Linked DNA regions of Drosophila melanogaster. The protein of the gene in region 1 binds, or shares a complex with, the protein of each later gene. Each region holds a gene or a part of one and is shown in the gene's direction. Other genes may lie near its edges.

Region 1 (3,119 bases):
TCAAATTTCAGTTAAATATTTCTATAATAATTTAGAGTCACTGACACTGGCGGCATTTCCCGCTTTTCCGCTTATCTCAGTGGGAGAGTTTTCAGTTTGCTCTCGCCGAACAACCGAATGACCTCTAAGCTACTTTTAAAGGTCAGACCCAAAGTGAGGCGTCCAGCGAAGCCGCAGTACGTGGAAAAGTTGCGAAAAACGGAAGTATCTCCCTACAGCGATACAACAAATGCCTGTCAATTGAAATTATTAGATTTGTGCAATTAAATCGATTGGAAATATACGTAAACGAGACACTTGAAAATTTGCACAGCACCATTTGTTAGATAATCGCGCGGATATCGCTCGCAAAAAACGCTCGATTTTCAAGCCCTTTCGATTGGGGTGATCTTTGTGAAGTTCGCAGATAAAACAATTAAATATTTTCCCTAAGCTGGATGCACAAGCACACACCAAGAGTCTAGCAATATACATACCAAGTACTTTTGCGGATCTGCACAAATTTAAATCCAGATGAGAGCTGGCTGACTGCTGATTTGCTTCTGAAACGCGGCGCAACGTTTGCCGATTTATTCTGGGGAATTCTGGGGAGAGGCCAGCGCAGACGCAGAAACTTCATGCTAGTGGTGGAAGTCCTCAAGAAAACTGAAGCGGTCCAAGACATGGCTTGAATGTGTAAAAGACGGCGGCGAAAGTGCTACCAATTTGTATCTTGATAAAGGAGTAAAAAATATCATTTAAAATATATATTTTAGTTACCTTACATGAAACTATAGCTCTGTTGCAAGCTATATGATAAATTTAATATTCATAAATTTTAAAAGCTCAGCTTAGGCGATGTATTTTTGCCCATCTCTAAGTGTGGAAAAGAGAGGGACACTTACATTTACTCTCCTTTTATATGTATGCGTTTCCAGGTGCTCGCCGGTTTTCAGTGTGGGGGTGCGCTTTCCCTTTTTTGTTGTTTTCCCTGGTACGTTTCCTATATTTTTTGGGGAAAATTGACCTTCGCACAAGGTTAGAGTAATCGGGATCCACACGTAGCTGTGGATTGCATGTCTATCTACATAATAATAAATGCTCTCGTTAATAAAGCATAAACAATCAAATGGCGTCAAGAGAAGTGTAACAACCAATGATAATGAAATGTTCCCGTGGTTTCTGGACAATCGGGTCATTCAAAGTCACATACTTGTGGTTAGTCACGCTTTTTAGCTGCCATAAATTAGAACAAATAAATGCAAAGCGGATTTTAACAAATCGTACGATTATGCTTATAGCAGCACAGCTGATCGGGAAAAAATTGCATATGTGTTGGTTAACATTGCCGCCCACACGCTGTTAGCTCTTTAAAACTTTCTTTGCATTTTTAAGATCATTCAGTAATATAGAACAATTACAATTTGACTAAATATAATTTTTCTGTTACTTTTTTAAGTTCATCTTAATAATTAAAATCGTAAGCATTTTGAAAATAATAAAATAAGAAGGGGCAAAAATAATTTGAATATTTATGTTCTTTACAACTACTGTTAAATTTAACTTTAAGACCAGGGCTGACAATGGCAGTGTTGGAAAGTCCTCGACTTGACCATATGTTTTGAAAGACACACGCGGATTTTTTGTTTGGAGTTTTCAAATCGTAAAAGCAACATTAAAATGAGCGCGACCAGCACAATAGTTATGCCCGGTGAGCGAATTGCGGCCATTGAGGAGCTGGCCAAGAGCAAGCGGGTGATACTCGGACCGGGACTGCGGCGTCTGGATGACACGGTGGTGGCTAGCAAGGCGGGCCCACTTCGACACAAGGAACCCGGCACCTTCTGGGTGGACAACTACCAGAGAAGGTACATCCCGGCACGCGGGGATCTCATTCTGGGCATTGTGCGAGCCAAGGCGGGCGATCTGTACCGCGTGGACATCGGAGCAACGGACACAGCCTCCATATCGTATCTCGCCTTTGAGGCGGCCAGCAAGAAGAATCGCCCGGATCTGATCCCCGGTGATCTGATTTACGCGAGAGTCCTGAATGCAAGCGCGGACATTGAACCGGAGCTGGTCTGCGTCAACTCGGTGGGCAAAAGTGGCAAACTGGGCGTCCTCACCGATGGATTCTTCTTCAAGTGCAGCCTGAATCTGGGAAGGATGCTGCTGCGGGAAAACTGCCCTGTTCTCGCCGCTCTTACCCGGGAACTGCCCTACGAGATCGCTGTGGGAGTCAACGGCAGGATATGGTTGAAGGCCCATTCCCTGAAAGAAACCGTGGCCCTCGCCAATGCCATTTCAGCGCTGGAGCAATCGGGATGTGCGGAAATCGACAAAATATGTGGCAATCTCGGAGACTTCCTGCAGGCCTAGGATTAGTTCTTAGTTTACTTACTTTTATATAAAAAGAAATGGTTAGCCAAACTGATGGGGTTGAATTTTGATGTGAATGTTGGCGCAAAGGCAGTGTGTTGGAAGCCCTGATTCGTTTACGTAAAAAAACTATCAGAGATGAGCAGATGGAAGCGTTTTTCGTATCTTGGATTATGCTCTACATGTTCTCTCAAGAAAGATAGTACTACCCTTACCTAGCTACCAAAAGGTATTTAAATAATATAGCATCATTCAAAAACCAAGTATAAGGGTTTTATGTCAGATAAGGTGACTACTTTCCGCAGTCACTGCGTCACCTCTGGTGCCCACCAACAGCTGATCGATCAGACCCGCTCGCAGTGATTTCTGTGTGGCCAAGAACAGGTTTCAGTGCCTTCCGTTGCGGCAGAGGACAAAGGTTTCTCCGACCCAGCCGTGCCATACAGAGCCAACGAGATGAGCTTCCTGGAGTTTCTGCTGCTCCTGCTCGTGCTGTACTATGTCGTGTACGTGCTCCTCTGGATCCTGCTCGACTGCAATGTGGCCCTGTGGTACAAGTCCCGTTTCGGAGTCTCGCTGTCGTCGATGCGCGGACAGGTGGTTTGGATAACTGGTGCCTCGAGCGGAATTGGCCGCGCTTTGGCGCTCAGCTTGGCCAGGCATGGAGTGAAATTGGTGCTAAGTGCCCGGCGACTGGAGCAATTGGAGCAAGTGCAAGAGGAATGCCTAGCTGCAGCTCGCGGACTGCTGGCCACCAAGGA
Region 2 (6,100 bases), on another chromosome or scaffold:
GAGGTTGCGTGTAAGGCACAGGTGGCTCCTCCTCATGCTTGCTGCGTTTCTTCTCCTTGTGGCGACGCTTTTCTTTCTTGTGCTTTTTCGACTTCTTCTTTTTGGACTTGTCCACATCTTTGCTGTGCTTCTTAAGCTTCCGTTTCCTTTGCCTTTCATCGCTGGACGAATTGCTATCACTACTATTGTCGTCGCTGGACATGATCTGCAAATACAATTAATGAAATAATAAGTAAACCAAGATATTCCTGAGGTTATAAAGAGGTCCATTGGATGTGAAAAGAGAGAATCCCCAAGAAAACTCAGGTCTTTGGATTGGGCTAAACATTATATTGCAGTTAACAACTTTAAAGCTTAAAAGTATTTAACAAAATGCAGCTGGATGGGACAACTTAGTCGGTAGAATGATTGGCAGCCAGGGGATTAACCCGAAAAATAAACCTAAACAGCGAATGTCTTTTGAGCCTTGCGATAGCTATACGCCAATGACTTGAGAATGCCAGCACTGGGAATATTTTTGATCGATTGCGTGACACTGCTGCGCCACACAATGTCGTTGACGGATGCCTGCAGCACCTCCGGAAGCTGGGAGGCCATGGATAGGTGATTCACCACCTGGGTGTAGTCGCCACGACAGGCGGCATTTCGCTGCAATCGCTTCTGAAGCTCTCGGGGCAACTGTCGCAGGTGTTGGCATGTAGCCGATGAGGATTTGTCCTGCTCGAAGATTATGGCTGGTTTCCGGCTCCCTGGTTCCTGGCCCTTCATGTTTACCGCCACATAGTCGGAAAGTTGTCCCAGGGAGGGTTGGTATAGGGCGAAGAAGTCATTGATTTGCGGACTAACTATGTTGTGCACTTTCTGTTTGTTTTCCCCGAAAATCATACGGAAATCGCCCTTGTAACTCAGTCCGGCGATGGTGTGGAAAAGTCCGTAGGCAGTGAACTTCTCTGGTAAAAGTAGCAGAGCCACTTGCAGCGCGGATACAAGATTCCTCTCCAGCGCAGCCTTGAGGGGAGGATTATCAGAAGGATTGACCAGATTCGTCACTGGTTTGTGCAGCCTTCCTGCCAAGTAAAGATGCCGCCAGTCAAGCAGATCCTCCAGCAGCTCCTCCTGCGACACCACGCCGTACTTTATGGTAATGCCCACATCTGGCAGAGGCACCAACGTGTTGCAATAGACACCCGCACCCAAACGCTCCTGATACTTGGCCACAAAGTTCGGTCCCAGGTGCCTAAGGGCGGAATAGTGGTCCGGATGACGGTGCAGGTTCTCCGCATGGAAGCCCCTAGCATCACGAACGCAAAAGACCAGATCCACAACGGTTCCCGGCGGAGGACGCAGGTTGTTTCCATTGCCGACTTTTCCATAGCCTTCCTGCTGTTTGACGCCGGATCCGTAGGCGAACATATAGCTGACACTGCCCAGAGGAAACCGCGCCACCGTGCGTCTGTATAGGTCCAGCATCTTGTGCGTGTTTTACCTCCTAATTGGACTAAACTTAGGCTTTATAATTACTTTTTTTTTAGCACGTAACTCCACTTCTTCTGGATGGAGTTGATGCTTCTCGGTCAAGCTCCTCGCTTTTCGCCGGCGCCGGAGGGGTGTACACACTGGCAATCAGCTGGCTGAAAATTTTGTTCAGGGTTTCACTTGAACAATTTAGCGCCCTCTTGAAAAAATAAAAGAAAAGACCAAATATTTAACAAAGAAAATATTTATTCAGTTTAATTTATATTGAAAGGAATATATATTTAGTTCAATATAATAATAACATTTTGCTTTTAAAAAGAATTTGTAAAGTATTGTTCATCAAAGCAGGTTCTGTTTACGGTTTAACATAACGAAATATCACCATTCCAAATTTGGCTAACATTTGTAAAATACACCTTCATATCGATTTAATTCGATTGCGGTCAGCACCGTTTTAGTGCTATATAGTGATCAAATTTCGCCGCCGGTAGTGTTGACAAACTCCAAATTCAAGCTGTTGTTATTCTCAAAAAAGAAGAAGAGAAAACACGCACATTTTCCACAATCTGTAAAACGACAAAAAATTTGTACGAAAATAACACAAGACATTCGACAAGGAAACACTATACAGACATGCCGCGAACCCCGAAAAGAGTTCACCAGGAGGCCAAAGAGGAATCGGCCCAAGCAGACCAGCCGCCAAAGAAATCCGCTTCAGAAGATGTTGAGGCATTCACAAACGTGGGTAGCAATTCAGCCAGCGTACATAAGTATATTTCAATCCAATCCCTACGTGTTCTGCTCTGACATTCCAGAAAGGGTTCAAGAATGCAATCGCCGCCACAAAAGCCGCTAATGCTTTCCCACAAGGAACAGCCCGCGCCCTTTACCTAAGCTATCCAGGCTACGCACGTGTTATGGAAGACCTGACCCAACGGGTGGTGGCGCTCATCGGGAACGTGCTGCACTCCAAGGACATCAAGGGCGACATCAAAAAGTAAGCTTCTAACCATGACATTATTCGAAATGTTGAAAATACAGCACAGCCATTGAAATCAAAGTTGGTACCTGTATCTGTAAATAACAATAGATCTTTATTCTTTAAACAGACGCCAACCGGAAGAGCAGTTTGAGATGGTGCAGGAGTGCAACGACGTACTGTTCGAGCGCATTACGACTAATCTAGACATTAAAGGTGGTCTGCGAAGAAATACACAACAGGTCGTAGAGGCCCAGGTGGACGTGATGAGCAGCTCCACATCCATAGAGCCCGCAGTAGCTTCCCCACAAACCCAAGGGACTCCAAAGGCAGGCAGCTGGAACAGAACGACAGGAACACCCCAACGCAGCATGGTTTCGGCTCGTCTCTTCACCGCCAAGAACATCGTTCGGCCGCAGACGCAATTTAGGGAGCCGGTGGATAACAGTGCCCAGAATCCGTTTGTTCCAAGACTCAAGGAGAAACCTAATTCTCTTAAACCGCTGGCCCTGCTGCCCGAATACGATGATGCCGGCAATGTCCAATCCTATTTGCATCCCTACGAGTTTGAGCTGCTTAAGTTTCAGCCTCCGGAGGAGCAGTTCCAAAAACAAAAGCCAGTGCTTCCAGCTCTGATGGCAGAAACCGAACTAATGGTGGTTGACACGGTGGAAAAACTGAAGCAGGCATTGGAGGAACTGAGACAAGCGCCCCAGATCGCCATAGATGTGGAGCACCACTCGTATCGCACCTTCATGGGCATCACTTGCCTGGTCCAGATGTCTACTCGCAGCAAAGACTATATTTTTGATACCCTGATCCTACGCGATGATATGCATATACTAAATTTGGTACTCACCGATCCCAAGAAGCTGAAGATACTGCACGGCGCCGATTTGGATATTGAGTGGCTTCAGCGGGACTTATCGTTGTATATCGTCAACATGTTCGACACGCATCGGGCTGCCAAAGCCTTGAATATGGCAAGGTTATCGTTGGCATATTTGCTTAAGCACTATCTGGACTTGGATGTGGACAAGAGCCTGCAACTGGCCGATTGGCGGATGAGACCGCTTCCCCAGCAGCTGGTGGACTACGCTCGTCAGGATACCCACTTTTTGATATACGTTTACGGACGGATGACAAACGATCTGCTGCAGCAGCATGCCGAACCAGGTCTGCTGGGCAGTGTCTATCAACAGAGCACGGATGTCTGCAAGAAGCGTTATAATAAGCCTCACATCGGACCAGAATCCCATTTGGATTTAGTAAGAAAAACGAAGCGCTCTTTCGACAACCGGCAACTGTACGCACTTCGCGGAATCTTCGAGTGGCGCGATGCGACGGCGCGGTCAGAGGACGAGAGTTACGGCTATGTGCTGCCCAATCACATGATGCTGCAAATCGCTGAGAGTCTTCCAAGGGAGATGCAGGGAATCCTCGCCTGCTGCAATCCCATTCCGCCGCTGGTGCGCCAACAGCTGCACACGCTTCACCAGATTGTCCTCAAGGCGCGCGATCAGCCGCTGGTCAAAGTGAGTTTCTTGGCGGTTTCAAGCAGCGCTTGCAACTCGATCAACGTTGGCGCCTATACCGATAATTTTTCATTACCAATTAACTGTAACTAACATTGAAATGAAGAACATGTTCTGAATTCACCTTATAGTTCAATTCATTTCACAACCGCAGGTCAACTAAAATAGGTTTAATGTTACCAAGTGTTGGGGTGGTATATCTAATGTTTAATGTTCTTGACTTTACTTACGATTTTAGCCGATCCTGGAAGCCCACAGTAGTACACAGGCAGCGTTGCCTCCGTCGACCAAAGACTTTAGCAGCAAGCTCTACTGTCCGCACGATTTTTCGCAACTGGAGGAGATTCGCGACGACCTGCCAACGCTGTTGAAACGTAATTCAACTACAGGAAAACTGGAGGTGCCCAATAAGGAGGAGGTTGCCAAAGTAGATCCAACCTTAGCGGCACCAGCCATGGCTCTGTTCGAAAAGCAGTCCAAGCCGACACAAGAAGAGGAACAGCGCTGGGCCCATCTTCGCAAGGAGAGCCAGACAATGCGTATGCCCTACAAACGCTATCTCGCCATCCTACCTCTGATGGTGCAGCTGAAGGCCGATCAGTTGGCCAGGGAGCGAAGTGAGTTGCAAAAGAGGCAATTGTGTCCAGCAGCCCCAACTGTGGAGCAAAACATTAAGCTGGAGGCACACGCCATCGGAAAGGAGGATGATGACATGTACTCCGTCCCGCTGAAGGAACAACTGAAGCGCAAGCACCCACAAGCGAACGTGAAAACAGATCCGGAACAGCAGCCGACTGCTAGCAAGCGACCTCGCAAGGACGAGAATTCACAAACCAAACCGCCGGTAAAGATCGAACCAGTCGAAAAAGTTCAGCAGGCTTTAGGCGAAAGCGATGATGAGGTCGTTGAGGTTCCTATCGAAAGGCAAGCCACAGAGCCACCGAAACCATCACCGGCACAGAACAACCGCAAGCAAAAGAAAAATCAGTTCCAGCGCGGATTCAAGGCCAAGAATCGAGGAAACCACCCGCAGAGCTCCAGTCAGCAGGTTCCGCAGCACAAGGGTACAGGCAACTTTGACTACAAGAACGTGGACTTCCGGCAATTCAAGGGAGGAGCGCAAAGAGCCCGGGGCACAGAAATCAAGCAGCAAATTCGCGGCAAGGTGAGTGCTATGAAAAGTATTAACAAGCTGGCTTAGCTTTTACTGAAACGATCTCTTCACTAAACATTTATAACGCTTGTTTTTTTTTTTAGAACCGTCCCAACAATCGGAACAACAAGCAGTTCAACAAGCTTTTTACATTTAGTAATGTAAGAAAAGAGGGCAAAAAATGAACTGCAATCGTGACGAAGTCTGTAAAATATACATAACTGGTATATATGTGAATTCAATAGTAAGAATGCGAGCAACACGAAAACTGATTGATGAAACTGATGAAGAAATAAACAAGTGTTTATTTTTGATTGTTTATAAATTCTTTTCAAGTTACAAAACTATTTTTTCTGAGCTTTGCAATTTTCTAAAATATTACCTATTAAATAACAACCGTAACTATTCATTAAACTAGACTATCGGATATGTTGTTATGGATCGGTTTGTAGTTCAATATTTAAGAACAGTTTTAAGAGATGGTCATTGAAAAAATATGGGAAAACCAAATAATAATTGGGACGTGGGAAATGTCATGGTAATAGGTTTAAATTTCAAACTTATTTCGTCACAACGAATTTTGTATGATTTAATTCCTAATTGGATGGCATCTCAATTTTTCGAAAACTTTTCTAGCATTCAAACCAATACAAGAAAGGACAAAAGAACTTAATTTAAAATAGGAAAAAACCTGTTTCGGGCATTTAAATATTTGGAAGAAATACAGAAGTAAAACATGGACTAAAATAATACGATAATTTCTCTATCTAACTTTAGCTTAAGTAGGATGTGGAAAGTGAGTTCCTAAAGCTCTAGTGCTGGCCATTAGCCCCAATCTTGAGCTGAAACTACAGAGTTTTGAACATTTTGTCGCCCTCGATGTCCATGCAGTGCTCCACAACAGCATAGACCACCAGAAGTCGTCGCTCCACTCCTTTTTTATGCTTATCCGTAATC

The links.
Region 2: Rrp40 (region 1) and Rrp6 share a complex: the UniProt entries of both Drosophila melanogaster proteins name them as parts of the RNA exosome complex.

What each region holds. Positions count from the first base shown.
Region 1 is NT_033779.5:1,727,170-1,730,288, forward strand, and holds Rrp40 (ribosomal RNA processing 40), read left to right. Parts: upstream 1-1,562; 5' UTR 1,563-1,659; coding exon 1,660-2,358; 3' UTR 2,359-2,593; downstream 2,594-3,119. Other genes in the region: Eno (enolase), read right to left, coding at 477-664; CG31937 (uncharacterized protein), read left to right, coding at 2,815-3,119. UniProt on the Drosophila melanogaster protein: Non-catalytic component of the RNA exosome complex which has 3'->5' exoribonuclease activity and participates in a multitude of cellular RNA processing and degradation events.
Region 2 is NT_033777.3:14,881,952-14,888,051, reverse strand, and holds Rrp6 (Rrp6), read left to right. Parts: upstream 1-1,805; 5' UTR 1,806-2,109; coding exon 2,110-2,217; intron 2,218-2,291; coding exon 2,292-2,473; intron 2,474-2,585; coding exon 2,586-3,990; intron 3,991-4,228; coding exon 4,229-5,155; intron 5,156-5,247; coding exon 5,248-5,328; 3' UTR 5,329-5,554; downstream 5,555-6,100. Other genes in the region: CG33332 (uncharacterized protein), read right to left, coding at 1-202; CG33331 (uncharacterized protein), read right to left, coding at 442-1,470; CG3631 (uncharacterized protein), read right to left, coding at 5,992-6,100. UniProt on the Drosophila melanogaster protein: Catalytic component of the RNA exosome complex which has 3'->5' exoribonuclease activity and participates in a multitude of cellular RNA processing and degradation events.